Linked DNA regions of Astyanax mexicanus. The protein of the gene in region 1 purifies or fractionates together with the protein of each later gene. This does not show direct contact. Links are inferred from orthologs where the notes say so. Each region holds a gene or a part of one and is shown in the gene's direction. Other genes may lie near its edges. The genes, in order: ppp2cb, strn4, ppp2r3b and tcp1.

What was found.
Region 2: the proteins of ppp2cb (region 1) and strn4 purify together in Homo sapiens (affinity purification with mass spectrometry; 4 studies listed by BioGRID and IntAct, counting the BioPlex papers as one, with this or other methods). This does not show direct contact. The link is inferred for Astyanax mexicanus from reciprocal best matches to the Homo sapiens genes PPP2CB and STRN4.
Region 3: the proteins of ppp2cb (region 1) and ppp2r3b purify together in Homo sapiens (affinity purification with mass spectrometry; 3 studies listed by BioGRID and IntAct, counting the BioPlex papers as one, with this or other methods). This does not show direct contact. The link is inferred for Astyanax mexicanus from reciprocal best matches to the Homo sapiens genes PPP2CB and PPP2R3B.
Region 4: the proteins of ppp2cb (region 1) and tcp1 purify together in Homo sapiens (affinity purification with mass spectrometry; 3 studies listed by BioGRID and IntAct, with this or other methods). This does not show direct contact. The link is inferred for Astyanax mexicanus from reciprocal best matches to the Homo sapiens genes PPP2CB and TCP1.

Annotation. Positions count from the first base shown.
Region 1 is NC_064427.1:27,864,192-27,872,315, forward strand, and holds the start of ppp2cb (serine/threonine-protein phosphatase 2A catalytic subunit beta isoform), read left to right. Parts: upstream 1-5,012; 5' UTR 5,013-5,477; coding exon 5,478-5,579; intron 5,580-8,124.
Region 2 is NC_064425.1:35,550,964-35,558,811, reverse strand, and holds the start of strn4 (striatin-4), read left to right. Parts: upstream 1-4,675; 5' UTR 4,676-4,867; coding exon 4,868-5,155; intron 5,156-7,848. Other genes in the region: fukutin-related protein, read right to left, coding at 2,251-3,692, 4,059-4,174, 4,302-4,363. UniProt on the Homo sapiens protein: Calmodulin-binding scaffolding protein which is the center of the striatin-interacting phosphatase and kinase (STRIPAK) complexes.
Region 3 is NC_064418.1:6,029,293-6,036,268, reverse strand, and holds the start of ppp2r3b (serine/threonine-protein phosphatase 2A regulatory subunit B'' subunit beta), read left to right. Parts: upstream 1-3,831; 5' UTR 3,832-3,939; intron 3,940-4,992; 5' UTR 4,993-5,039; coding exon 5,040-5,387; intron 5,388-6,976. UniProt on the Homo sapiens protein: The B regulatory subunit might modulate substrate selectivity and catalytic activity, and might also direct the localization of the catalytic enzyme to a particular subcellular compartment.
Region 4 is NC_064420.1:22,435,654-22,443,301, reverse strand, and holds the start of tcp1 (T-complex protein 1 subunit alpha), read left to right. Parts: upstream 1-4,646; 5' UTR 4,647-4,719; coding exon 4,720-4,792; intron 4,793-6,291; coding exon 6,292-6,377; intron 6,378-6,486; coding exon 6,487-6,615; intron 6,616-7,648. Other genes in the region: uncharacterized protein LOC111194026, read right to left, coding at 1-203, 1,045-1,116, 1,239-1,349, 1,495-1,617, 1,729-1,776, 1,918-2,040, 2,142-2,189, 2,499-2,534. UniProt on the Homo sapiens protein: Component of the chaperonin-containing T-complex (TRiC), a molecular chaperone complex that assists the folding of actin, tubulin and other proteins upon ATP hydrolysis.

The DNA of each region.
Region 1 (8,124 bases):
GGTAGTAATTACCTCTATTACACAGTGTGCAATAGAGTCCAGTGAGGTAGTAGGGTTTTTAGTGCTTTCCATTTTCTGGGGTAAGTGGGGTAAGAGTGTGTGTGCATGTACAGAAAAACCATCAGTTCAGTCTCTACAGTTGAGGAGTCTGATGGCTTGGGGGTAGAAGCTGTTGCAGAATCTGGTCGTGCTGGACCGGATGCTGCGGTACCTTCTTCCCGAAGGCAGGAGGGAGAACAGTTTGTGTGAGGGATGGGTGGGGTCATTCACAATGCTGGTTGCTTTGCGGATGCTGCGGGTGGTGTAAATGTCCGTGATGGAGGGGAGAGAGACGCAGATGATCCTCTCAGCTGTCCTCACAATACGCTGGAGGGTCTTGCGGTCAGAGACGGTGCAGGTCCCAAACCAGGCAGTGATGCAGCTGCTCAGGATGCTCTCAATGGTCCCTCTATAGAAGAGTGTGAGGATGGGTGGAGGGAGACGGGCCTTTCTCAACTTCCGGAGGAAGTAGAGACGCTGCTGGGCTTTCTTGGCTGTAGAGCTGGTGTTCAGGGTCAAGGTGAGGTTATCTGCTAAGTGGACACCAAGGAACTTGGTGCTCTTAACAATCTCCACAGAGGACCCGTCGATGTTGAGTGGAGAGTGGGTGTGTTGTGCTCTCCTGAAGCCAACAACCATTTCCTTTGTCTTGTCCACATTCAGGTGAAGGTTGTTGACTGTACACCAGTCTGTCAGCCGCTGCACCTCCTCTCTGTATGCTGACTCGTCGCCTTTGGTGATGAGACCCAGCACGGTTGTATCATCGGCGAACTTGATAAAGCTGTTAGAACTGTGTTTTGCAGCACAGTCATGAGTCAGCAGGGTGAACAGCAGAGGACTCAGGACACTGCCCTGGGGGGCCCCAGTGTTCAGTGTGATGGTGCTGGAGGTGCTGCCCCCGAACCGGACTGACTGGGGTCTCTCCGTCAGAAAGTCCAGGATCCAGTTGCAGAGGGGGGTGTTGAGGCCGAGCGAGCTTAGCTTCCTGATGAGGTTCTGTGGGATGATGGTGTTGAATGCTGAACTGAAGTCTATAAACAGCATTCTGACGTAAGTATCCTTCTTCTCCAGGTGGGTGAGGGCATCGTCCGTGGAGCGATTGGGACGATACGCAAACTGCAGGGGGTCCAGTGAAGAGGGCAGTTGTGTCTTGATGTTCCTCATGACTAGCCTCTCGAAGCACTTCATGATGATGGGTGTAAGTGCAACGGGACGGTAGTCATTGAGGCAGGACACTGTGGACTTCTTCGGCACGGGAACGATGGTGGTGGACTTGAGGCACGTTGGGACAGTGGCGCTGCACAGGGAGATGTTGAAGATGTCCGTGAGAACATCTGTCAGCTGGTCTGCGCACTCCCTGAGCACTCTGCCGGGGATGTTGTCTGGTCCTGCAGCTTTTCGTGGGTTGACTCTGCGCAGAGTGTTCCTCACATCCACTGCAGTCAGGCACAACACCTGCTCGTCCGGCTTGGGCATGGTCTTTCTCGCCATCGTGTTGTTTTGTGCCTCAAACCGTGCATAAAAGTTGTTCAGGGCATCAGGGAGGGAGGCATCATGTTCACAGGACGGTGGCATTGTCCTGTAGTTGGTGATTGCCTGGATGCCCTGCCACATAGGCCGCGCGTCACCTGTGTCCTTGAAGTGGCTGTGGATTCTCTGGGCGTGTGCTCGCTTTGCCTCTCTGATGGCTCTTGACAGGTCGGCTCTCGCTTTCCTCAGGGCCACCTTGTCACCCACTCTGAAGGCGGAGTCACGGGTCCTCAGCAGCGCACGTACCTCAGCAGTCATCCAAGGCTTCTGGTTTGGGCGTGTAGTGATGGTCTTGGAGAAAGTGACATCATCAATACACTTGCTGATGTAGCCAGTGACTGATGCTGCATACTCCTCCAAATCAACAGAATCGCCTTCAGTAGCAGCCTCCCTAAACATGTCCCATGCAGTGCACTCAAAACAGTCCTGAAGGGCAGAGATGGAGCCTGCCGGCCAGGTTTTCACCTGCTTCTGAACTGGTCTGGAGCATCTGATGAGTGGTGTGTATGTTGGAGTCAGCCAAACACCATGTGGTCCGAGAAAGCGAGGTGGGGGCGGGGCTCCGCCCGGTACGCGCTGGGGATGTTTGTGTGAACAAGATCCAGCGCGCTCGCTCCTCTCATTGCAAAGTCCACATGTTGATGGAATTTAGGGAGCACTGACTTGAGATTTGCGTGGTTGAAATCTCCGGCGATAATAAACAGTCCGTCTGGGTGTTTGTTCTGCAGATCGCTGATAGTCCGATACAGTTCACACAGAGCCTCTTTAGCATTAGCACCAATGCTAGCGCTGGGTGGGATGTAGACAGCAGCTATTAGCACGGCGGAGAACTCCCGTACTAAATAAAAAGGTCTGCACTTGACTATCAGGAACTCCACCAGCGGAGAGCAGTGTTTGGCGACAGTCACAGCGTTGTTACACCATTCCGTGTTGATGTAAACACACACGCCTCCACCGCGGGTCTTCCCGGATAGAGCCGCGCTCCTATCCGCTCTGAACGCGTTTAGCCCGGCTAGCTGAATGGCGCTGTCCGATTCCACAAAAACCAAAGCACAGCAGTCTCTGAACTCACGCTGGGTTGTTCGCTGGAGTCGGATGTAGTCCAGTTTATTGTCAAGGGAACAGACGTTTGCCAGAAAGAGCGATGGTATAGCCGGCCGGCTAGGACTAGCCTTTAGCCTCGCGCAGATCCTGGCTCTTTTTCCGCGCTTCCGCTTACGCTCGCACCGCTTGCGATGGCACTTCCGCTGGGCTCCGGCGTCAGGAAACACAGCGGGCTGGCGGCCTGGGTCTCTTAGCAGGCTAAGCTCAAGTAGCGTCTGCAGAACCTCGTCCGGTAGCGTGTTTTCTGGCTGATTTCTCCACTGTAGCAGGGTCTGGCGGTGGTAGAACATGTGCACGGGTGTTCCGATGCACATATTTGCAGGAAATAAACGGAAAAAACGACAAATAGTAACACAAAAGCACCATTTAACGGACCCGGAGCGGCCGCTGCGTGTTAACGCGCCGCCATCTGCCTAAAAATATCGATAAAGTGATATATCCTCTTGAGACCCAGCGTCCTCACATGAGGACATTACATTTTAGCTTCTCTACACCATTATACTTAATTCTTTAGCTTCAAATGGAGACACCACCTGTACTGTCTAGTGGTCACATGACAACATTATAGTTAAGTGATTGAAAACAAGGTGGGAATCCCAGTCAAAAGTTTCTACAGCCAGTCCAGACGGAAACATGGGACAGGTAAAATAATCTCATAGAATTTTATATTTGAAACTATGTAGGATATGTGAAGAATATTAGTTGTCTAATTCTGTGAAACTGACATCAATTAATAATTCTTTGGTATTTTATCCTCTTTAGTAACACAGATGCCATGAAGTAAATTGTCGTGCGATAAATCTCAACAGTACAACAAAATCACAGTATTGTGATATCAATGCTATCATGGGAAATGTATTGTGATAATATTGTGTCACGAGATGCTTTATGATACTTTTTTTATTAGTTTATTTTCGATTTCTATGTTTCTTTCATTTTCTCCCCAATTTACACAGCCAGTTATTCAACCCCCCTCCTTTTGAACTGCCGCTGATACAGCATTGCTGAGTCGCATCACAGCGCGTGATTTTATGGAGTTGCTGTACATCTAATTTGGATTGAATTAAATATCCAAATAATAATAATAATTTTAGCAGAAAATCTCTATTAAAGAGGAGAATTCCCACTTAAGAGTCTCTTCTGCGTTTGTCCAGCCACTAGAGGGCGCTCCCGAGTGAGTCCAAAATGAATGGGTCTATATGGAGCCTTTAAACAAAATCGTAGTTTATACATGGTTTTAATTTTTATACTGCAAATTGTACTCATTTCTTTAACACAGAGCAATATCAGATGTATCGCAGACACAATTTTAAAAGCTTTTAAACTTTAGGTATAAGCGCTTTAAACTTAGTGCTCCTCTGTCTGTAACCTGTAAACTCCCATCAGCATCAGCTCAGCTCAGTCAGCTCACAGTAGCAGTAATGCTAGCGTCTTTACTGCCTAAAACCTGTATACTGTAGAGAAACTGCAACATACAGGTACGTTTTCTTCAACGTATTAGCGAAAGGGTTTATTCTGCATTCTAAAATTAAAAGTGTATTCCGGGTAAAACGTTAATAACTATTTTTAATCTGAGTTTTTAGCCGATTAGCTCCATAGACCTCTATTCATTGAGGACTCACTCGCGGGCTCCCTCTAGCGGTTAGCAGGCAGTTTCTGGTATAAAAGTGGCGATATGGAGTGGGTAGACTCTGCTCTCAGCTCTCAGTGTAAAAACAGCAGACGTACAGCTCTGGAAAAAATTGAGACCACTATAGTTTCTGAATAAGTTTCTCTGATTTTGCTATTTATAGGTATATGTTTGAGTAAAATAAACATTGCTGTTTTATTCTATAAACTACGGACAACATGCCAAATAAAAACATTGTCATTTAAAGCATTTATTTGCAGAAAATGAGAAATGGCTGAAATAACAAAAAAGGTGCAGAGTTTTTAGACCTTAGATAATGCAAAAAAACAACACACACAAGTTCATATTCATAATGTAAAAAAACAACACACACAAGTTCATATTCATAATGTTTAAAGAGTTTAAAAAAATCTACATTTGATGGAATAATACTGTTTTTTATCACAGATTTCATGCAGCTTAGCATGCTCCTTTACGCCACTTCCATCTTCCTTTTGATTATATTCCAGAGGTTTTCAATTTGTTAGAATCAAAGAAACTCATCATTTTTAAACGGTGTCTCATTTTTTTCCAGAGCTGTATGTGAATTACGTAAAGCTGAAGAGCAGGGCCAGTTCGGTCCGCTGGTCCGCGGGAGGGCGGTACCGGGTTTATCCCGCGGGCTCAGCCGGAGCGACGCGCATCCTCCGCGAATGCCTTTGCGATGACGCCGATATGAGGCAAACGCAGAGCGGCCATTACACAGCGAGTTTCCCAGGGAAGGTCGGGAGGGAGAGAGCGGGGGAGCCACTGAAATAGATCCGCCACACCGCGCCGCAGGTCCCGCCGAGCCGCCCTCCATCAGCACGCGTACAGACGGGAGAACGCGCGGAGTCGCCTGTTTTAGAGCCGCGGTCTCCCCGCTTTCGACGGGTTCAGCTAGATAAAGTGTCCGGGGTAAAGCAGCCCTCGGTCGGCTAAGCTAAGCCGAGCTAAGCGGCCGCCCGCACCGCTGAGCCTAAATCCAGCCGGCTGGTCGCTAGGTTAGCTAGCGAGCTAAAGAGCTAAACGACGCCAGCAGGAGCACACAGCCGGTTCTGAGGGGGGTTTCAACGGGTACCGGATTACACAGACCTCCGCTCAGCCCCAGAAACCATAGCTAGAGGCCCGTACTGCGCTCCAGGACGCGCCGAGGATGGATGATAAAGCCTTTACTAAAGAATTAGACCAGTGGGTCGAACAGCTGAACGAGTGTAAGCAGCTCACCGAGAACCAAGTGCGGACCCTCTGCGAGAAGGTAAAGCGGCTAACGGCTAATTGTAGCTTAGCCTACCCAGCTTAGCGCTATAGCTAATCTGTTAGCGGGGTGTTTTAATTTTACCGCTAAATATAGAAATAAAACAACATTCCCGACAGTAATAATAATAATGATCATAATAACAACGTGTTTTTCTTAATTAAGTTAAATGTTTATTACAGTCTATACTAATGTGATACTAGTTTAAGTTGTTTTGAGGTTCTAAGTCGTTATTTTGAGATGCTAGGTTAACTTAAAACGTGAGATACTATTTGAGAAGATTGTTTTATTCGGAATTTACAAATTAAAGTAAAGCCTTTTATATAGCTTATGTACACTCAAATGTATTACATCAAAATAATGACTTAAGAGTATGAAAATAATTACGTATTATCTTAAAATAAGGACAGTATCTCAAAACAATGACATATCTCTGGATATATGTATTATCTCGGAAATGAGTATCCCAAAATAAAGTTTTTTTTTTTTAATTCAGAATAATGGCTCAGTTTCTCTAAAAAAGGACCTATCCTAAAAACAAGGATATAGTATCTTAAAATGATAGTATCTTAAAATAATGACGTAGTATCTAAAAATGGTATCCTATACTAATGACGTAGTATCTCAGTAATGAGAGTATCCCAAAATAATGGCCTTTTAGTTCAGAATAATTACTTAGTTTCTCTAAAAAAACAATAATCTAGTATCTTAAAATGATATTTTAAAATAATCTTGTAGCATCTTAAAATGTTGGTGTAGTATCTTAAATAATGTAGTATTTCTATCTTAATATAATAATATGAATAACATAGTAATCTTGAGTAATGACGTGGTATCTTCGTAATGTGTCCCAAATTAATGATCTTTTATTTCAGAGTTATGACTTTTATTATCTAAATAAGGACATATCTTAGAAAATGATGTAGTATCTCAAGGTGATAGTATCTTAAAATAATGAGTCTCTTAAATTATGAAGTAGTATCTCAAAACAATGACATTGTATTGCATAATGATCCTTTAACTTTGACTTAGTTTCTCTAAATAAGGGCATATTGTCTAAAAAAAAAACAATAATATAAGCTCTTATGGTGATAGTATCTTAAAATAATTATCTAGTTTGTCAGTATTATGACTTCTTCAGATAATGATTGCATCAGAAATAATGACTTAGTATCTCAAAATAATGACGTAGCAAAAACTAGTCAGAACTATGACTAAGCAGTGAAACAATATATCTGAGAGCAGCAACATAACACACCTTCAGGTTTTCCAATATCATGAAGCCCTAGTTAACTTGCTGTATTTCAACCAGCAAGTATTTAGCTGGCTAAGGCAAATAAACAAGTTTTTTAGGTTTAAATTACAGCTATTAATTAACTAACTTGGAGTATTATTTATTTAGATACTTTTGTAGGTGTTTGTGTTAAACGTGAATTAAATAAGTTATGAAGTAAACTATAAAAAAGGGCAATTTAACTATATGTAAAGATAAATTAGAATAGAAATAGACCTGTTATAGGCCTGTCACAGTTATTGTGTTATTGATTTGGCAATTGTGCTATTCGTGGATCTAGCCACTGTGATTTTTGCTGACCTCAATATTGCCCGTTCTGTTTACTTAGCTACTGAGAAGGTGGTTTTGTTTTATTTAATTTAAGATAGTTAAGGGTTTTTATTATTGGCTAAATTGAAGAAATGTCTAAAAAATGTATTAATGATCTTAAATAGTCTTAAAATAATAGTGCCAATTATTGCCGTTATTTATGGGACAATATATCTATTGTCAAACATTGTTTGTTGTGACGGGACTAGGGTGAAGGGAATACTATAAAAAATACAACTAATACAGTTTGTGTATATGCAGTTGTGTAGCTACAGTAAAGTGTGTAATGAAGTCAGCTTTAAATGTACACTTTAAAGTGATATAATGATTGCGTTAGCTGTGATTCACTCAATACACAGTGAATGGCTCTCTTAATTCCTGATTGTGTAATGAATGAAGTCATTCCATCAGTTGAGAGTGAGTTGTTGCTGGACATGTCAAATTTCTGTACTCTCAGCTGGAACTGTCCAACTGGAACCAGCTGATCTAGTTAGTTGATAATTAGCTGCAATATTACATTTTATTGAGCTATTAAGTATGTTTTTGTCCAGTGTAGGCAGTTCTCACAGCTCGTACGTGTTAAAAAAAAACCTTAGTGAGCATATTTACAAAACTTGTTAGACTTTTTATTTTCCCCTTAAGTCACAAGTTTATTTTTTCCTCTTGTAACAGGAGCTAAACCATTTTATTGTGGTGTATAACACGTATACTAGGTTAGTCTGATTTAATAATTTGCTGTAAATTAAGAAAGTTAACTTCAGTCATATGCAGTATTAAACTTGTCTCAGCTGATTGACTATCTTTAGGGTCTGGTCAGTAGGGGTTTTACATTTTGAGTGATTCAGTCTTCTTATTTTAAACTTGAGTTTGTCAACAGTTAAATTTAAGCACCACTTATCACACATTAATATGACATCAGTCAAATCAGAGGAGATGACCATA
Region 2 (7,848 bases), on another chromosome or scaffold:
TTTAAATAAAGTATTTTATATTTAATTATGTGCTTTGTTAACTGGTTCTGACGGATTCAGCTCTGCTATTCGTTTTATTAGCCGCTCAATTTTATGAACAGTCCGGGGTTCACCAAGACCATAACATAAAAAAACAAAACAAAAACAAGGCAATGTTTTAAATAATCAAAGTTGTTTTATTTACTATTTGGTCCGCATTTACATTTTACACGTATCTCAAAAATTACTCAAAAGATGTCAGAATGGACTAAGCCAAAATAACAAACAAAATAATTAACTGGGATTTAAGAATCTAACTCACCTAACTAAACAAAAAAAGAAAATTACTAGAAGTTTAACTTTTCTTTTGGTTTTATAGTCAGAAGCTTTATGGGATGACTTTGGTTAGAATAAATGTGGCGATTCAAAGATAAAGTCTCGATTGGTCCACTCACACAAGAGGTTAATAGCTATAATATGAGCATACATTACTTACTTATATACAACATACATTACTTACATTTATACAGACCTGTGGGGTTTATTGGGGATCTTTCAGTAAGGCAAAAATATTTTTGCATGTAAAAAAAACAAATGTCATTCATTTGCCCCCAGTCCTTTCTTGTAGGGTTTCCTTTCCAGCACAGTGGACCTGTTTACAGTGATGTGTAAGTCAAGGGAATAGGACAGCTATTGCAAAATATGCTTCTATTTTCAGTGAACTATTTCTGTGTGGGTCTGAATGTATCATTGCTCTACTGGAGATTTATCTATGACACTGGCTTCAGGCAAAGACCACCATATCATAAGTCACTTGGTAAACAACTGAATGATACATTGCGTTATAAAAATGACGGCAAACTTACAAAGAAAACCCAACAGTGATAAAATTACTAAAATTATTACACAGTAGCAATTAGGATGTTTAGGAAGTCTTTTTATAGGCATGATTTTTGCCTGATCTGACACAGAATCAAATCCTAATTAAAGTTCCAGCAAGGAAGATTTACTTGCAGCTCCAGTTTGATCTCACATCATTTGAACAGCACACTTCAGCCTTGTATACATTCTAATTACATTCTTATAAAAAATATAATACACTTAATTTAACCTGGTATATTTTTCAATCATAGGATCCATGATCATTTGATTTATTTTTAGAGGGTGCTTCAGGAAAATGTAAGAGACCATCTGCCAAAAGATAGATGAAGGTAAAAGCACACAGCTGAAAGATTTCTGCATAGAGGAGTGTGAAACACTCTTCTCCCAATGTCAAAGGGCTTAATTTAGCTTTTGTCTTCCAAGAGGTAAAATGCATATAAACTTGAATGAAATAAACTTGCATTTTTTTTTACTTACATTAAAATTGTTTTAAAAAGATATTTATTATCCAGATATTTATAACACAACTGGCAAAACAGGGTCAGGTTTCAAGCCTGGACTATGTTTAGGAGCAGGGTAAGGGTTAGGTTGTTTCTGGTTGAGGTTAAGTAACAGTTAGGACCAGGTTTATGATTAGAAGTAAACAGATATTTAATTAAATGCAAGTTAATGGCAGGTTAGGTGTAAGCTATAGCTCTGTGTGTATATATATATAGCATGCATATTTTGCAGAAAGTTAATGTTTAAAATAACAGTACATTATAGTACCCCTGACCCCAGTCAGTAAAACAACAGAAGCATGCCACCACCTTGTGGTCAGACAAATAAATTGCAATATCTACATTATTCACGTCAAAATAATACAATTTCCCCACTAAATGTTTGCTCTTTTTTGAAATTGAAATACATTTGTCAGCTCTCTTTATCTAATACTTTTAATAATTTCCTATTATAAAATCCCAAATAAGTTCATAATATACCAATTACTGAACTATTGAAAAATTAAGCTATTAAAAGACAATGGTCATGTATTAATTACAAAAACACAAAATGTGCGACACTTTTAGCATAACTTAATAAACTAAAATTAGTAGCATGAGCACAGCTTACTACTCATATGATGTTTATATCCACTAAAGCAAGTATTTTGTAATCCGTCATTTAACCAAAGCCTTCTCCTGTCACATAGTACGTACTGATTTTCTAAACTTTCATATTAAAACAAACATTTTGGAGATCGTTTTTGATTTTTTTGTGGGAATGTTTGTGTATTTCAAATCCTTAAGCATGACAACAGTATAAAACAGATAAACTCAGACGTTTGACAACCTTAAGATTTTAAACTGTTCTCTTTAGTTCAAAGTTTAACACCACAAATAAATCACAACCTCACATTCGACTCCTATCCAGTCTTTTTTTAGCAGGGTTAGGATACTGTGGGTTCTCAATGACCCCCTGCCCAAACTTTAGCTCCAGGAAGGCACGGTGGTTGTTGGGTCCATAAGCAGTAATGCCCACAAATGTCATGGGAACCAGTGGCTGCAAGAAGTGCTCAGGGAATTCTACATCCTGCTTGTGATCAGTCCAAGTGTCCTTGGTCATGACTCCATTCCGTGGGTAAAAAGGCCAAAGATCCACATGCAAGTGGTTAGCCTCACTATACTGGATGCGGTAGAAGTCTCCCTCCACTGCCCGCTCCCACACATACCCGTTAGCATCCACCAGTGACCCTGAGTCTAGGTTCTTCAGGTACTCACAATTTGACACATCCTCCAGATAGATACCCAAATCGACATCATAGTCCCAGGGGATGATATCTTGATGTCTGGCTGCTCCTAACAAACTGCCCCCTTCCAACCAATAGCGCACACCAGAACTGTCTAAGATGTTAATGACATACTTTGTTGTTTCTCTGAGAGCACGCAGGCAACAAGGTGGGGTCCAGCGCTCCAGGTAAAGATACGCGGGTGTGTCGTCACGCACCGTGCCGAAACATCGTGCTGTCTCCTTTGAACAGCCGAACCACTGTTCCCTTCCATCAGGCCACACTAAGCGTTTAAGACCGAAGCTCCGCATCAGTTGGTTGGCAGCCTCTTTAAGCCGGCTGTCCGCCTTCCATTGGTTGTGTGCCGAAGTGAAAAGAGGCCGGTGGCTTGCAGAGAATGATGGACCCTCCAACAGCTTTACCTTCCAGCCTCGCAGTGCAGTCTGTATAAACAGTGAAGATAGCAGGGGGCGTGCTAAGGGGTCAGACAGGTTAAAAAAGTCTTCAGTACGAATGAGGACTACAGCATCACCATGCAAAGCAGTACACACACTGCCACTACTCCCCAGTGCCCCAAGGGAGTATGTTGCTGTCCACTCTTTTAGGCTCACCTGCAGGTGAAGACACTGGACCGCAGCACGAGTCAGCACCGGGGCTGCAATCAGCCGTACTGGCCCACCTCCCTCACCCTCCAGCTCTCGAATTAGCCTCTCAAGCTGCCGCCCGTGATCCAGCTCCACACCGTCAGGCACTAGCAGTACAAATTCTGACTGTACATAAAATTCTGGACGGTGTGCTTGAGGAGGCTGGTCTGGACTCGGAGACAGCACCAGCAAACGGGCATTTTCAGGCAGAGCCAGAGGAGGGTAAGGCAGGGTGTCAGCCACAACCAGGAATGGCAGCTCTGGCCTCTGGTGCAAGAAGGAGCGTGCAGATTCAGCGACATAATTCTCAAAGTCTTCAAACTCCCGAAGCAGGATGGTCATACGAGGACTTCGCAGACCTACTTCACCTCCTACCTTGTTGGCTTCTGCTATGTTTCCCACTACCAGCCCACCAGCAGCTCCTAGGCCAGACGCAGATAGAGAGACTTTCTTTGAGCCTTTTCCCTGCATGCGCTTCTCAATCATCTGCTGCTGTGCCCGGGATACAAAATACAGTATTAACAAGTTCAGCACAATGGCTCCTGTTAGCAGAGCCTGACAGAAACTGATTCTCATTTTCACTATACAGGTTTTACACTTATATAATATACAATGAAAACTAGAATTATACTATGTGACGTACACACAAACGTGAAGACCAGAGTGGTCTTTTGCTAGTGTTTTTCTCATATTAAACATGTCAGGAACAAACAAAAACGTGGTGAGGAATTTGTGAGTTGTATTTAGATGCATAATATCATTAATAATAAACAAAAAAATGAATTGACCCATTGACTCCGGGGTAGTTGTACAAGAGAAACAAAAGTTTTCAGAGTAGGCGGGTGGTGGATTATGACATCCTATCTCTCTGCCTTTGCTCATCCAATCTTTTGCACCACAGAGACTGTAAGACACACAAAGAAAGGCATAAACGCATTAGATCGCCCTTTAAATAAACAAAAAAACCCGATTGTAATGTATATGCTGTAACAACAAACAAGTAGCGATTGAAAAAAAGAACACTGTCTTACCTGTTTCTGGTTGTACATTGACACAAATAATGGTCACTGTGTCTATCCTTTAGACCAAACATTTAGCTCGATCTTACAGGTCTATCACGGCCACACATGGCCGTTCAGATTCTCTGTATTCCGCAACAGTCGATCAGTCACACAGTGCACATCTAAATCCAGAGTAGCTTTAGGCTCTGAGCTGAATCTGCACCGGTGCGCCGGTCATTGTTTCAGCATGCGGAGCGCGCGGGCGGTGCGGGGCGCGGGTGCGGGTGCGGGCCCAGCAGAGTCTCGTGCTCAGTGTTTTGTGGGTAGTAAGCGCAGGAAGCTCGGCGGATATCACAATATAGCAGGAAGCGTCCCGAGGGTGCGCTCGAGAGCTTAACCACAGCAAGGAATAATGGAGTGAGGGGGGAGGGCGCGGCGGTGTGCATGGGATCAGTATTTGGCAGGCTCGGGCTGTGTGTTCGGTTTTGTCCGTGTCGCGAAGGAAAATAGGAAACGGCTCCGTTTGAGCGCGCGAGGAACGGGGACCTCGAGCCTTTTCTCACTCCAGTTTCTCCGTGATTTGGCGACACGCTGTAATGGAGGCGGAAAGATTCGGCGGGGGGACGAATCAAAATACTGCGGGTAGCGGAGCTGGGCGAAATCCCAACGGGCCGAAGACTGTGCTCGGTCCGCCGTCTGCAGCGCCCACCGCCGCGGCTCCATCAGCGGCGGCCGGGGCCATGCCTGGGTCCTCCCAGCCACGGGAACAGCAGGACGGGGAGGCGGGCCTGTCGCTGCCCGGGATTTTACACTTCATCCAGTATGAGTGGGGGCGCTTTCAAGCGGAGAAATACCGCTGGGAAGCGGAGCGAGATGAGCTGAGGGTAACTTTTACATTAATTTATGTTCTTATTTTAAAGAGTCAACAGGACTGAAGGAATGTGTGAGGAGCAGCGGTAACAGTAGAGTCAGAACCCAGGGCTGGTGCTGCGGGTTGTTGGCGTATTAGTGAAAGTATAATAATGTACAGCTGTATGTTCATGCTGTTTCGTGTGTCGCGTATTTGTCTGGTGTGTGTGTGAGAAGGTTTGGCCTGTACTGTGTTTTTGTTTGAGTTTCTTTGTAACATGCGCTCCCTCCCTGTGCTACAGTAACTGTGCTGTTAGTGGTGTAGTGTTAGGCGTGTAAGGTATATTGGTTTGCTGCTCATATCAACAGAAAATGCGCTGCCACGTGACCGATGAACCACTCCTGAGATTCAGTTTGAGATCTGGTTGTAAATCCAGGGCGAGCAAAAAGAGCGATGACGTAATGTGGTTTGTGGGCGGAGTCTGTAGTAAAGCAGGGACCGTGGCTGTGCTCCTCCGCCCAGAGTAAGGAGCTGTGGCACATTTAGATGAACACGTTCATCACTTTCAGGCTCCCTTTTTGGAACACAGTTAGTTACTGCACCTATCTATATAAGCCGTCCGATGCAGACTTGCAAAGGCCCGTTTTAGAGCTGCAGCTAATGATTATTTTGTTAGTTGGCTAATACATCAATTAATCCTGCCATGCCCTCCATCTCTCTTCATGTAGGCGTGGCTCCTGTTCCAACGCATGCTTTACCTCACCTGTAGATTTCTGCACACCTGAATGTCACTTTTTTTCGACCACAATAACTGGTTCTGTTTAAGCTTATAAGAGCCTTGGTGCTTTTCAGTGAACCAGCCCATGTTTGCGCCAGTTTTAGTGGGTGAGAGGATACGTCACAGACCACTTCATCAGCAGAGGTCTTTGCACAATGGCTCCTGCATATGTAGATACGCCCACATATTTTGTCAGGGTTTAAGCTGAAAATATTCTTTGGTTCCGTCTGCAAACTTAACTTTTCAGGTTCCAGAGCCTATTTTTTTTGGTGGAAATGCTCCAAATGGTTCAGTATTGGGGGCCCGAAGAAGGTGGCCGTTTCATGTTGGACGAAAAACGCTACCTGTTGTCCAATCTCTTCCTAAAAGGGGAACTGAACGTGTGGGGTAGTAAAACATAATAACAAGTACCAACTTTTGTCAGATAGCCCACCAACTTTTACCTCCAGCATGATCAAATACATCGCGTTTAGCCAATCCATTTGGATTTTTTTTATGAACAAGCTCAGACTAGCTCCACATTTAAACAGAGACACTGAGAACTTTGCACATGTATAAAAGACCAATATTTAAATACTGTAAAAATATTACTGTATCACCACACCCTCACATCAGCCATTCATTTCAGTAAATTACCTAACCCATACCACAGACATTTCAGTGCACATGTGTCCTTACATGATGTTTAAACTGGCAAACATTAAGACTTGGAAAATTTAGGAGATGCATTGTTCCTGGTGTGTGATCCCAAATTCTTTCCTATCTCTAAGACGTGTGCTGTTCTACTTGATGAAATATCTCTGGAGGCAAAGAGGGAGAAATAGGAGTTATCTGCCCTTGACCCAGTTCTCAGACAGAGGAAGTCAGGATGGGTTGGGCAGCACATTATATATTATTGCACTTTACTAAAGTCAAATCAAATTTATTTATATATCGCTTTTTACAATACATATAGCAATCTTAAAAATTAAGTAATTATACACAGGTTTAATATATGGGTCAAAGGATTTTCAACATGCCAATTTTAAAATACAAAAAAATTTTGTATCTGTTGCAATTAAAATGCTGTGAACACAAACAGATTGAGTTATTTTAGTGTATTTTCATTTAGAAGAATTGGCCTTGGCCTTACAAAATGTCATGTGGTGCGACCGTGATTTATGTTAAAATTAATACATTGCCATAATATACTTCATTTTTAGTTTACAAATTCCCACTAATATAAAGTGTCTATTAATAAAGTATTTGCATTATTTTTTAGTTTTTGTAAATAAGGATCTCAATTTTGTTTTTTAGTGTCACAATCACTGGCTTTAATGTAGTTAATAGGGTAATTTTCTGTTAATCCAATAAAACTGTTAAAATGTTTTCTAAAATACCATTAACTTCAGCATACAGTATCAATAGTTAATATTTCAGCAACAGAAAATTGATACTTTATTTAAAATTTAGTAGTTACTGTTATTATAGGTTGCACCACATGATGAGTGGTCGCTCCAAATGACATAAAGTATCGTATCATTACTATTTAACTATTTAATGAGATCAATAAACAATAAATTCAACAAAATAAATAAATACAAAAATAGAATTCCATACAAAACCAGAATTGTTTTCTATTTTTTTCCCAATTTCTCCCTAATTTACATGACCAATTACCCAACTCATTTATTCAGACTTCCCCTATTACTAGTGATGCCCCAACACCAGGAGGGTAAAGACTAGCACATGCCTTCTCACATGTGAAGTCAGACTCCACCTCTTTTTGAGCTGCTGCTGATGGAGCATCACAGCGCTAACGCTCGGAGGAAAGCGCAGCGACTCAGTTCTGATACATCAGCTCACAGACGCAGTCTAGGAGTGATGAGGGGAAAGAGGACCATCTACTGTACCCACCCAGAGAGAGCAAGGCCAATTTTACTCTCTCATGGCTCCAGCAGCTGATGGCA
Region 3 (6,976 bases), on another chromosome or scaffold:
CCAGTGTTCAGTTTTAAAGTTTTTCAAACTAGGACTAAATTAATAACAGCAACACAATGTCTGGTAGAGAAAAAAAGAAACAGCAAAGTTTATCTTGGTACCGTACCAAAGTTGTGTGGGTGAATTTTTGACAAAGCACATCAATCAACCCTAGAGAGGGACTGTTAACAAACCATTACGGGCTCATTACTGATCACTTCTCAGGAGTGCTGCCGTAATTAGGGCTGTAATACATTGCATCAGCACTCATAAGTTGGCCGCTGCCCTGGTTTTTCAGCTCTGTCTAAACGTCTCGTCTGTCTGGTGATGCGAGAGCAACATAGTGAGCTTAAACGTAGTGACTACAGCTGGGGTGCAGAAAAAAAGAAAAAAATAATACAAATATGTATATATGGTGCGCAATTGTAGCATAATTTAACAAACAGATATAATTTGGCAGGGCTTGTATTTTCTAGAAGTGTGTTTAAGCCCGGCAGTCAAATCAGTGCAATATTACAGAGCACAATAAAGGCATTACACACAGAAGCATCACCCTCTGCCTGCGCACACTTCCCCAGATGGCTGTGATGGGAGTTGTAGGACTGATTCCTCACCCAGTCAAGTCTAATGCCTTCTAATCTTCTCCTGCTTTTTTCTGAATTATTCAAACAGTTCTTGAAGCAACAGCGGCGCCTCGACAGCAAGCAAAGCTCCCTGTGAGAGATAATGTAATGTAAAATGAATGATGAAATTCGGGGAGCTAAAATGAAAGAACTCTGCAATGTGTTTTCAAAGGTGAGGCCCTGGGTGATAACGAATAAACCTCTTTTAGTTGCTTTTAATGGGAGACTGGCGATGGCGTGCTCACATGGCGTGCAAACATGTGCATAAGGCAAAGAAGAGTGGCTTTGTCCAGCCAGACCTTTTTCTTGCTGCCAATTTAAAGGGACGTTGAACTCGAATTTTCTTTCCCATGTTTGAGCCATTATAGCCGAGATCCAAATCTCTAGTCAGCGAACAGATGAAAAGCATTTTTTTCGGGTTACTCGTTTTGTGCAGGCAAACAATTTAGGGGGGCAACTGAGGCATTTTGATGCATGAAATAATTTGCCCTGTGATGTAACGTCCACTCCTTTTAATCTTGAGAGCAAATGCCGGCTTATCTTTCCTTAAAGGCGGCTAATAACATATCATCAAATAAATAGCTTGAACACATTGTTCTTTAGTTATTACTGAAGACATGCTGCCTGACCTCAATAATTCAGTGTGATTAAATAAAACAATACAAGGAATATGCACATAACGATGTTCCTATTTTTCTCTCTCTTGTTGCCAGACAAAATCAATTGCCCCTGTGAGCTAAACATGGAAATCTATTATTACAGGAGTAGTGTTGCTACAGCACTGTAGGTTGTAACACAGTTAGTTAACTGAGAGGTGTTAGTGAGTGAACAGGGACCTCACATTATTACAGCTGATCCGCTTGGCTCTGCAGAATAGCCTCTCAAGCCAAACACTCTCCCCTTTCTTGCTCTTTTAGCCAGCTCAAAGAACAAGCTCCAGCATATCCTGATTGAAAAAGGCACAAAGGTGTAAAATTATTTTTTTTTGAAACTTGAAAACTGTGAAAGAGTACACTGTACATGCTGTGTGTACCTATGTATGTATGTATGTTTCACTGCAACCCTACCCTAGTAAAGTATGACCCCTGCAGGTCAATACAGCCTAAGCTCTTCTGCTCATGGAAAGACTGCATGGAAAGACTGTTCTTGGCACTGTTGTCATTTCACAAAGCACGCCTCACAGTAAAATGGCACCTAATCATTCTTGCCGTTTGAAACTGCTACATTTGGGTAATGCAGTTTTAATGCCGGCCCAGCGCTGTAAGTTTAACATTGATATATCATGAGAAAAATCTCAAAGGATCTGGGAAGGCAGAAGGCATTGTTCCCTCCTCCTAACCGTAATCTCAGATGGAGAGTGCAAACATCTGAGAGCAATTGAAGTGTCTTATAAAAGAGTCTCTCCCCACTGCGGCTGGGTTTAGCTGTGCGGATTGTGAATCTAAATGTTTTCTGAACTGGGTTTGATTTCTTCTTTGTACTTTTATTAACAATCAGAGGGTGTGGGTGGTTTACAGTGTATAACAGATCCAACAAATTGTGGAACGCACTGCAGAATACATGAAAATATTTCACCATTGTTAAAGCGTTTCAGCAAAACTACTGTTGTCACAGCGATCATTTAATAATGAAAAATAACCCTGCAAGAACTGCTGCCTTTATGTTATGGAATTAACACATATATATATAAGTGTACTGGAGCTACTGTGATGAATACAAAAACAAATATTCATTAAGAATATCATATAAAGTTTAGAAGAATAGCTAATATAATACTAATTATACTAATATAATAAAATATAATATAATATAATATAACATGACATAATATAGTATAATATAATATAATGAAAAAAAATCTTAATAAATTGTAGATTCCTAAACTATAAAAAATGTGATAGTTTCATGCGGTTGCTGATGTCGGGTGGTGCCCTTGAGGGTAAAGGTGAGGCTGGACAATAATTAAATATCATATACATCACAAATCTTTCATTAACAGTGATATGTTTTTAAAAGTATTTCCAATATTTTGCATTTATCTGTTGTGGCTGTTTTTTCCAGTTTTTCTGTGTCTTTTACATTTTCATATTGATTTCTGCTCTATACAGTATTGACCAAAATTAAGAAATATTTTATGATTGAGACACATGTTTATTATCTTTAGTCAGGCAACATGTTCCTTTTTTTATGTTGTTTTGTATTGTTGCCTACCCGCTCTCTTGACTCAAGATCTTGTTACACATTTGGTCCATATTCTATATATATTGCAAAACACAAATCTGAAAGTATATTTTATTATGAAAGAAAAAAAAGAATAATGCAGTATGACTGTTAAATAAAAAATCAACTAGTGTGTCAGTTGCATTTGCTTGATTGCATTATTTTATCAACATATGAGTTACTGTAGAGATGGCCTTGGTTTCTTCTATTATTTGATTAAAATTACCTAAATTTGTGCTAAATGGGTTGAATTATCCAAAAAATGCAATGCTATTTTCAAGAAGATTTTCGGGATTTACCGTTTGAGAGTGAATAGAAGATTAAAGAAGATGGTGATAGATGTGATTAAACCGTCATTTAAAGTGTAGCTCCAACCTGAGATTGAAATGTCGATAAAAATACATTGGGGGTTAGTTAAGATTGCTGTTTACTTGTTAAACACAATGGAAATGCATATTAATGATGAAAATTAATATTAAATAAAGCACAATATTTCCACCTGGAATAGTTTTCTCAGCGAGTTTCTGGAGGTGCTGAACAATAGTTGCTGATTTTAATATTAATTAAAATTAATATTAATTTATAATGTAGAAAATACATTAAACAAACAAACTTGTCGCTGGTTCTGTATAAGTTGGTTATATTAATTTTGCATTTACCTACGGAGCCCCTAAGATGACACCATGTTAAAAAAAATAGTATTGCATGACCACGACTTATTAAGGCGTGCAAGCCACAGCACAATTTACACAGCTGCTAAAAAGCCTAATTATAGTGTTTTATATATAGTGTTCTTAGTATAGTTATTATTATTTAGACCAGCTTCAACACTATATACAACACAAAGCTGTATTTAGTCATAATATTCAGCAAACCGACGAACATATAAGCTAATTTCACCTTTAACTGCAGCTTCAGGTGTAGTTTATAGCTGCAGTGAGAAGAGAAAGCCCCCTGAGATAAACTCCGCTCTGATTCAGCAGCAGTGAGGAGTTCAGATCTGCAGTCTCGCGAGACTCGGTTTCCCGGTTACCTGTGGAGACGAGAGTTTGATTCAAAGTAAACCCGGCCGGAGAAATGAGAGAGAGACGGGTTGTGCGGAGAACTTGTTGTGCAGGTGGGTAAATATTTACATTTACAGCTTCAGTTGTATATATTTACACTCATTACAGGATTAAGAGGAGCGTTATGGCTTTCATAACTATCTAGCTAACTAAACCACAAGCGGCAAGCGGTGTTTGGCTAACTAGCTGGTTAGCTTAGCTCGTATCTGCTAGGGGATACTGATAAACTTTCCGTTAGTTCAGGGCCCTGGATAGCGCTAACGATATTTCCTGAATATTATACTGTTATTAAACTAGTTATCTAGCTATCCAGTCAGTTATTATACTCTCAGAACTTCTGTTTATAATGCGTATTGTCCTATACTCTGTGCGAACAACCAGGCTAAAGTTTGTAAACAAAGTAAACCTAGCTATTTAGCTAAGTAACGTTAGCTATCTACAGCGGTGAGTTAGCTTCTGAAGCTAACTGTTATCTAGTTAACCTAGCTATGTGTCAGTTGAAATCAGTGTAATTTGGCTTGGTTAGCTAACAGTGGGCAAATTACTGAAATAACAGTTTTTGGGGTTTCTTTTGCAAACATGGCTCAAAATAACCAACATTTGGGGTTAAACACAACCTAGGTAGATGCTTAAATGTGTGTCCATATAAAACAATATAGGTTATCTAACGTTAGGCTTTTTACCTAAATATAAATTATGCTGTGGCTTGTAGCCACATAGTAGTTAGCTTCCTAGCTAACCTAGCTATGTGGTTTACATGCAAGTTACAGCTCTGGGAAAAAATAAGAGACCACCTTAAAATGATGAGTTTCTTTGATTATAATGGCTTATTTCAGCCGTTTCTCATTTCCTGCTAATAACTGCTCTAAATGACTATTATTCAGCACAATGCATAATTGTTTTTTTTTACAAGATCCTAATGCATCGCTGTATTAAGGCGTGGGAAGGAGATAATGGACTCATAAGTCGTCCAAACAAATTGTATTCAAATGATTCTGAAAGCATTATCTTGACAATTTGATTGTGTTTATTTATCTTTTTACAAGAAGTCACTGCATATTGATTATAATGTTGTCTTTCTGGTTTTCCTCTTTTTCTACATTCAGGGCGTTTTACGTAACTGTATTGTGGAGGAAAAATAAAAACATCCAAAATGCCTTCTCCTCAAGTTTTGCAACCAGTCCTGAAGATGAAGGTGGATGAGCTCTTCCTCAACTGGTTGAGTGAGCCCAGCACTCAGGTGATACTTTCAGACTACCTCAGAAAGATCAAGGATGGAGATACGTTGGATTTTGGACAAGAGGACTGCAATGGAAGGGACTCCCTCGTTTTTACAGAAAACAACAACATTTCTTCAAAGAGTAATATGTCAGAGAGGACTTCTGCATCGCTCAGTGCTCCTTGCAGCCCTCCGTCAGCCACGCTCCCGTCTGGGGGTGGCAGCAATAGCAGAGGAGGACCAAACAGCAGGGCTCTACGACGCTCTGTCAGTGTTAAAAAGGTAGGACTGAAACTTTTGACCTTGTTACATGGAAGTGGCCATGATGCAGAACCACAACTCCGATATCGACTGGTGCTAAACCTTCTAAATTTATTACTATTTGTAGACACACATCGATAGATATTCTTGGGTTAGTGTTACAGTGAAAAGTGGAGCATTTATTACTGCAAATTTTGGCAAAATAGTAAAACGCAGACAAGGAACCTATGAAGCTTTGAAGCCCTAAGCCTTCAGATTTTTCAGAATCCAAAATTAAGTTAATTTGACGCTGAAACATCATTTAAAAATTGCAATGGCATGTCTTTGTTAATGTTTACACTTTTATATAATAATAATAATAATGATAATAACAACAACAATAATGAGTTATATATAATAATGAGTAATAAATAGTTAAAGTAATGGATTGGTTTTTAGTGGCAAAATCTGACAAGTCTTGAGTTGACTTTTTTGACTGTATATCTGTACTGAACAGAGGAGGACACATATGCTCTGAGTGATTTTTTTTCTCACTCTGAGGAAGTTATATTATTATATATTGTCACCACTGGTTTTCTCACTGGGGCTCAAAACCAGATGTGTGTAAAGCTGCTTTTTGACAGTGTATGCACAGCAGGTGTTAATTTGCTAATCTTTGGTAAATATTTTACATTAGTTTAGGGGTTGTTGACAGCTTTGAGTTCCTCTGTTTTACCACAAGAGGCTGCTGAAGACTGGTTCCCTGTAGCTTTGTGTATTTAGTATCTCTGGTAGGGCTGGCTTTGTGCATAGGCTTTTGTATTGTGTAAAGAAATACTTTCCACATGTTCCTTTGGAGTAAGACTGGACCATGGAATGAGAGGTGGAAGCATTTTAAGTCCACCAATCCCAGGAATACTAATGGCTCTCCCACTGTGTACTGATCAGTGATCAGGGTGGACATATCTGTCTACAAGGCTCAGGCCTTTTTTGTTCAGTAGAGCATCACACTTACATACATTCTGTGCCTTATATAGGTAAGGTTATCCAGGAAAGAAGTCAATCATTGAAGAATTTGTATATTTCCCATGCCATACGTTAGGCTATAATAGAATACTATATAGTGGAAAATCTTTTGAGAGGGATCCATATTTGGATGGACTTTCCTGGTTGTGAATGCCTGCAATGTGGGGTCAGAGAGTTGGATAGACAGCTGCGGCTATCAGTAGCTTAGTGACATGCGTAAGTGAGCATGACTGCAACTGCGCAGTTAATTTAAGTTTACCGTACATTTCAGTGTAATTTTTTTACAATATTTCAAAACATTAATATTTCAATCATTTAAATTAAAAAAATAAATTTATAAAAAATAATACCGCTTCACAGTAAATACCAAAACATATACAAAATAAATTGCTTTTCACTGATATTTAAAAAAAGGACCCTGATTTTTTCATATGGTACAATATGGGACACACTTGGTTTGCACTGAAAAAAAATTATATAATAAAATATATAATATAATATATATGCCGATGTCAATACATGTATAACTTACTAGGGACTAGACATATAGTATAACTTATAAAGCTAAATTTTATTATTTCTAAGTAGCATGGTCAGTGTTGCCA
Region 4 (7,648 bases), on another chromosome or scaffold:
TGAGTTGGTTCCGCCTCTCGAACCTGCACCAGGACGCGGCGAGAAGACCTGGAACGACACACAATGGAGGTCTTTAAGTTAGTGGCAAGGCGTTTGAGGGATCTGCTCTGTGTGTTAGTGGTAAGTGATGGTGCAGTGTCTCCCTGGCTGGATGGCTGTGGATGAGAGGTGGTGGTGAGGTCTGGAGCTGGAGCTTCTTGGCACTGTCAATAAAAACGAAACAAGCTAAGATTCAGGATTCAAGATTTTTATTGTCACGTCACAGAGTACAGGTGTACATGTGAGTGAAGAAATTGGGTGCAGATTCCCACTAATGTGCAGAGAACAATATTTACAAGAAGAATAATAAAAATATGTATAATTTAAAATAAGATAGACAGATACCTTTACAGTATAAACAACATACACAGTATACTCAATAAAAACACACATAATAACTTACACTATAGACAAATATTGCACAGAACAAATATTGCACAGATGTAGATATGCAGATATCTAGAGTGTGTGTGTGTGTGTGGAAGTGAGGAAATAGTCCAGTAGGTGACAGAATAACTATGAGTAAGTGCAGGTAAGGAATGAGTTGAGTGGGAAGTGCAGGGGGCAGAATGCTATATAATATTGGGAAAGTCTGATAGATGCAGTGTAAATTAAGTGCAGGGTGCAGAGTTTGTATGGGTGTCAGTGGGGTTATAGTCCCACAGTAGGGGGACTAATCTAGTGTTACAGCAGCAAATATATAACCAGGCACACATAAGCAGAAAGACATTACTAAATCATTAATAAAAATATATAAAATATCTATGTATATAAAAAGTGTAAGTGCTTACTGTATGTGTATGAGGTTTACTGTGATGTTATTAAATACAATATGTTAAAATTACTCAAAATCCATTTACCGTAAGCATCCAAATGGATTTCAAGGTGTAATGCTTTTAAAACCCTTAAAGAACCACATATTAAATAAACACTGTACTCATTACTTTCACGTGCCTTTCTCACAGCTTCTTATATGTACTGCTTTAAATAACACTGAGATCTGACCTGTATTTTAGGAGGTGGCTCCAAACTCTTCTCTCTGACATTGTCTTCCACGAGGTCCGAGTCACACACAGCCTAGAAGAAAACAGGGGAAGAAAAAAACAGGTTTCCTAATGAACTGTATATCTATAATCATTTGAAGATAGTAGAGAGGCAGAGGTTAAATAGATTATATAGGATTAACTGCAAACTCTTACCTGTGCAACTGGACCTGGGACATCAGGCTTAGTAGAGTCCAGCCTGTGGGCGGGGGCTGCCTCCCTTACCGGCACCAGGACTCTCCCACCATGCCGCCTGGGCGAGGAAAGCTGCAATGGAGTGGAAGATAGAGACTTTAAAGACTCATATTAATAGATATTTAACAGATTTAAAGTGGGATATGGTTTTGGAAGCAGCTGTATGACTGTGATGCTTTTCTGCATCTTAATTCATTGTTTATTGTGCTTTTCTCACCTTCTCGATGAGGGCCCTCAGCTTCCCCTCGAGGAACTCGTGCTGAACCCTCCTGAGCTCCTTCCAGGGGTCTGGACCCTCACCCTGCCACTGCAGACAGGCGTCCCTCAGCTCCTCAGTGCCCTTCAGGAACATGGAAAGAAACACAACTCAGGATTATATACACTGCAATATAAACTAAACATGCTGCTTTTTTTTACGCAGATCAATAAAAACAGTTTGATAGAGACTCACGCAAAAAGGCAGGAGAATGGGGGGGTCGCAGGCGCAGTGAGACTCCACCTACAACAGAAAATAAATTCCAACCATTTTAAAAAACATAAATCAACATATGTTTACATATGTATGCATTTACAGTTTGTGAAACACGTGACTGTGATGCTCCTCTGCATCTTAATTAATTGTTCATTGTGCTTTTCTCACCGTCTCAATGAGGGCCCTCAACTTCCCCTCGAGGAACTCGTGCTGAACCCTCCTGAGCTCCATCCAGGGGTCTGGACCCTCACCCTGCCACTGCAAACAGGAGTCCCTCAGCTCCTCAGTGCCCTTCAGGAAAATGGAAAGAAAAACAATTCAGGATTATATACACAATATATGCAATATAAACTAAACATGCTGCATTTTTAGGCAGATCAGCAATAACTCACGCAAAAAGGCAGGAGAATGAACTGGTCTCCTGACCCACCAGAAGCCCCCTGTAACAGAAATACAAGAAAAATGTATTACAATAATTTTTAAAAATGGGATTTACTGTTTACTGTTACTACTGACACTGACACTGAACACATATGCCACCCTTTATGGCACCCAAGCTAGGAACCCTTTCCAGACTAATACAGTTATTTAATAAAATACTAATGCTATGCTAACTAGGTTAGGCTAGTTATTCAACACCACTTCCTCAGACTCCGCCTGCAGAACTAACAGCTGCTGTAATTCATGCTGCTCCTAGTTTTATCTTGTCACTGTAAATTTGGTGTAAAATTAGATAATGGTTTACTTACCTCCAGGAGATGGTCTTCACTCCGCCAAAACTCCATGTCTGACCGCGGGGTGTCAGTATACCCACACCGGTTTCGACACCTGAAAAACAAAATATATGTGATTAATAACAGAAAATACAAGTAATATAACAATAATATAATAATTAAAACACAATACAGTTAATAAAACAGTAAATATTAAAGAATAAACGGGTCTGTTGTCCAAAAAATCGCTGGATATCCTCAGTGAAAAGCTGCTGCTGCTGCTGCTGCTGCCGCTATTCTTGAGCTCAGGAACTCTGTAAACATAACAATCATCCAATCGTCTCGCTGAACGAGGACGCGCGCCGCGTCACTTATGTAGCCATAGAAACGCGTATATTATGTTTTTATTTAATTTTTTCCTTATTTCTTATTTTTCAAATGCTTTGCGTGTCTGACTGAAAATATGTATACTTATACCACAGTCATTAGTACAGTTATCTCAATTATAGTGCAATTACATGTTGTGGTGAACCCTGGTAGCAAAGAACATTAAATACATTAAATAAACTTTATTTAAAAAAAACTTGTATAAAAATAACAATAACAACAACAACGACAACAACAATAATAATAATAATAATAATAATAATAATAATAATAATAATAATAATAATCATTATTATTATTATTATTATTATTATTATTATTATTATTCAAAATATTTAAATAATTTAATCTATGTGCAGGAATAAAATAACTTTTTTAAATGGGGTGGAATTTCCCATTTTTAAATGCTTTGTATGTCTGACTGTTAAAATATTTATTTTTATAACACAGTCATTAGTACAGTTATCTTAATTATAGTGCAGTTATATGTTGTGGTGAACCCTGATAGCAAAGAATATTAAATTAATGATTATTAATGATTAATGATTTTTACATGCAATACAACTATAATAATAATAATAATAATAATAATAATAATAATAATAATAATAATAATAATAATGATGATTATTATTATTATATAGTAATAATAATAATAAAATAATACTTATAATAATAATAATAATAATTTTATTATTAATTTAAAATACATTTTCTTTGTGCCCATTCGCACAAAGAAAATTAAAATATTTAGATAGTAATTAGCATGGATTTTTTTCAAGACCACCAAATGTATAGTAAATTTGCATTTTAATGTAGTAAACATAAAAAAGTAGAACATTTAATTTAATAAAATGTTTTTTTTTTTCATTTTAGTTTTATTTATTTTGGTTTATTTTAGCTTAGTTTTCTGTAGTATATTTTAGTTTAGTTTTGTCTTGTTTATTTTGGTTTATTTTATTTTAGTTTATCTTACTGTAGTTTATTTTATTTTATTTTATTTTCCTATAGTTTATTTTATTTTATTTTAGTTTAGTGTACTTTAGTTTAGTTTAGTATAGTTTATTTATTTATTTGGTTTATTTTATTTTATTTTACTGTAGTTTATTTTGGTTTACTGTACTTTATTTTAGTTTATTTAAAATAATTGTACTGTAGTTTATTTTATTTTAGTTTATTTTGGTTTATTATTGTTCATTGTTTTGTTTATTTTAATTTAGTGTAGTTTAGCTTAGTTTATATTATTGTAGTTTATTTTTTTTTTAGTTTAGTAAATTGTAGTTTATTTTATTCCGTTTAACTTATTTTATTTTAGTTTAATTTATTTTCGTTTATTTTATTTTAGTTTAGTTTGGTTTAGTTTATTTTACTGTAGTTTAAAGTATTGTACTGTAATTGATTTTATTTAATTTTATTTTGGTTTTAATTTATTTTACTGTAATTTATTTTATGTTGTTTTAGTTTCGTTTATTTTGGTTTATTATTGGTAGTTCTGTTGTTTTTGTTTATTTTCGTTTAGTTTAGTTAATTGTAGTTATTTCATTCTATTTTATTTTAGTTTAGTTTAATTTATTTTGGTTTATTTTATTTCATTTCATTTATTTATTTATTTATGTATTTCTTTTTTTTCTTTATTTGTTTGTTTATTTAGTTTAGTTAATTATAGTTTATTTCATTTTCATTTAACTTATATTATTTTATTTGAATTTATTTTGGTTTATTTTACTGTGGTTTAATTAAATTTTTGTATTTTGGTTTGTTTAATTTTATTGTATTTTCAGCCGATGGGCTCTGGAAGGTTCCAGGCCGGGCGGCAGTTCTTTACCCAGAGTGCACCGCGGCTCCTTCTCCTCCTTCTCTCCGCTCCGTCATGTCTGTGCTGGACGGTCCGCTCAATGTTCTCGGTCAGAGGACCACCGGGGAGTCCGTGCGGACTCAGAATGGTGAGTTTAACCGCGGACCGGCTCCGAGACCCGCGCTCGGTTCTCTATGGATCAGCAGAGAGAGAAAACGTGCCGAGTTACAGCGGTTCACCGGCCCATGCTAATGCTAACGGCTAACGGCTCCCTCAGCCTCCACGTGCGGATTAAAACTGCTCAGACTCGCCTGTAGTTTAGTGTGTTACCGGTTAAAGATAGTAACCTGGCTAATTAGCGGATTTAAGGGTCTTTATGCGCGAGTCTCTGTATTAATATCAGTATTAACTGTTTCTTTATCAGCAGCCCGTTATGTTTGCTGTCAGTGTTGCCGGTTCCGCCCGTTAGCTAGCCGGCTAACCTAGCCTAGCCACTGTTATTAGCCTGTTGTTCAGCATCATGGAACATTACCCTATTATTTAGTGAATAATAAACTGTTAAAAGTTAAATGTTACACCGGTCAGTCAGTAGCGGCCCTGCTTGACAGAACTGGTCAGTGTTCAGTTTGTTAATGTTTATTTTAGATTCTGAATTTCTGGCTTTGTAATCCTGCTCCAGCAGAAAGCTACAGTATGCAAATCAGCCTGTGGGTCTGCAGCCACAGTGTGAAAGTGAGGAACTGATATCTGATCAATATCAGACATTTTAGATCAGTGTGATCATTGTTGGACTAAGTTCCTACTATATATAAATAACAGCTACTTCAGTTAAAGTAAATGTCTGAAAAGTCTTCTCTTAAGAACTTTGTGTAAAAATATCTACAATACTATTTAGCTCAAAATGTACTTGGGTGTTGAAAGTAAATGTCACAATTCAATGCAGCTCTGTTTTTTTGTAACTTCACTCTTGTTAATAACTCCTATTTTAAGTGTCCCTCATGGTAAATCAGCATTTTAAGTAAGGCTGGCCAACATAAATGTAATAAAAAGAATTTAACGATTTCTAGTTCTTATGTAACTGCAGTTTTTTATTTGTAAATAGGTGACACTGTTTTAAGTGATGCACAAACAGTTTTTTCCTTTTCCCAAAAATTAACCAAAAGGTAACATTGTTCAGTCAGGTTAGGATACACAAAGAATACGCAATGATTGTGTGCAATTTCATTGTACATTTTTCATTTTTTGCTGCTTAGTACTAAGAGAAAAAATATCGCACTGTTCTCATTTTACATGACAGTATTTACCAGATGGTCAATTATATCTTGTCTAATACAATTAATTTTGCTCTAATCATTGATGCAGTTATACTGTTGTTTCCATTATATGTTGCATCATTGCCTTTTTTTTTTATTTAGTCTGTTTACATTGTAATGTAATTTGTTCCAATACTGTGCAGCCCTAGTAACCAGCTGCAGTTAATCAATCACTGTCCACGTTTGAATAAATGTGGCTGTATTTTATAGAAAGTGTGTAATATGGGTATGAATTATAAAGTGGAATAATTGCCTAGTTTACAAACAGTGAACCTCTCCTGATGGCTAGATAATTGAACATGTTTTGATGACTTCATTTTTCTGTGTTTAACAGTCATGGCTGCGGCCTCCATCGCAAACATCGTCAAGAGCTCCCTCGGTCCCGTAGGGCTTGACAAGATGTTGGTCGACGACATTGGTGTAAGTGCAGCAACTTCAGATTATTAAGGCATTTAATAAAGTGTTGCTTTTGTTTTGAAGGCTTTCTGGGAATGCTTTTATCAATAGTGTGTGCTTCTGTTTACCGCAGGATGTAACCATTACCAATGACGGAGCCACCATCCTGAAGCTGCTGGAAGTGGAGCACCCTGCAGCAAAGGTCCTCTGTGAGCTCGCAGAACTGCAGGACAAAGAAGTTGGAGATGGAACCACATCTGTGGTAAGTTGCTAACTGTTATCTTTTCTTAGTTACAGTTATAGTTAAGAGTGTAAATGACCACTTTTTTTTTTTTTTTTTTTTTTAAAGAAATGTATTAATTTACTAGGTTAATTCATGCATCTTAAAGCCACAATATCTTATAGCCTCTCAATGATGCAAAGAATTGTTGTCAGTAGGCTTAAGCCTGCATCAGCCCACCTGTCTGCATTTAGAGTTAGTTATACAGCTCTCTTGTAGCCAATGCACAGTGCAAATGTAATTGCTTCAGGTTTGTAGACTTAACTCATAAACTTGTGTTGCTTAGGTTGTCTGATTACTGAAGTGCTTAATCATCGAATCTGAACTGTTCCATAAAAACCATCACCCGAGTTGAGTTTTCCCTGTATGTGGTTCACCATTTCTGTGTTCTCACAGCAGGAATAGTGGCCCAAATCTGAGTTTTTTTGCCAAGTTTTTAATATTTGTCTGAATAGTTATTGGGCAATACTTCACGCAAAGTTTCGGTTTAATCCTCTCAAGCCTTACTGTAACTATCAAGGAGTTCCAATTGCTGACAACTAGGGATACACAGACGTGGGAATTGTGGGCCAATATTAAACATTTATTTAGTTTTAGCCATGTTCATAACTTGGAGAGACTTGGAGAAACATCAGTAAGTATTGGTTTTGAAATGTTTGCCATGTCAGCCAATGCCTATGATTCTTAAAAAAAAAACTAAAAGCAACAATTGGCAGATACCGAAACGATTCCAATATCATTGTGTATTCTTACTGACAACTTCCATAGAGTGCAGTTATTTCTCCAAAGTCACTTTCTTTGCCTTGTCTGATATTTTTTTTAGGCCTATAATTTTTAATAATTTATTATTATTTGTTCAGCAATTTCTTCTGAAATGTCTTTAAACTCAGAGCGGTTGTAATATGTGCCTCGTAATCCATTGTTTTGACATTAAAAATAAAATTAATTCTGATCTGGCTATTTTTGCGCATTGTATATTTATTGGATTTTAATTCCACATATCAAGTGGCCGGAG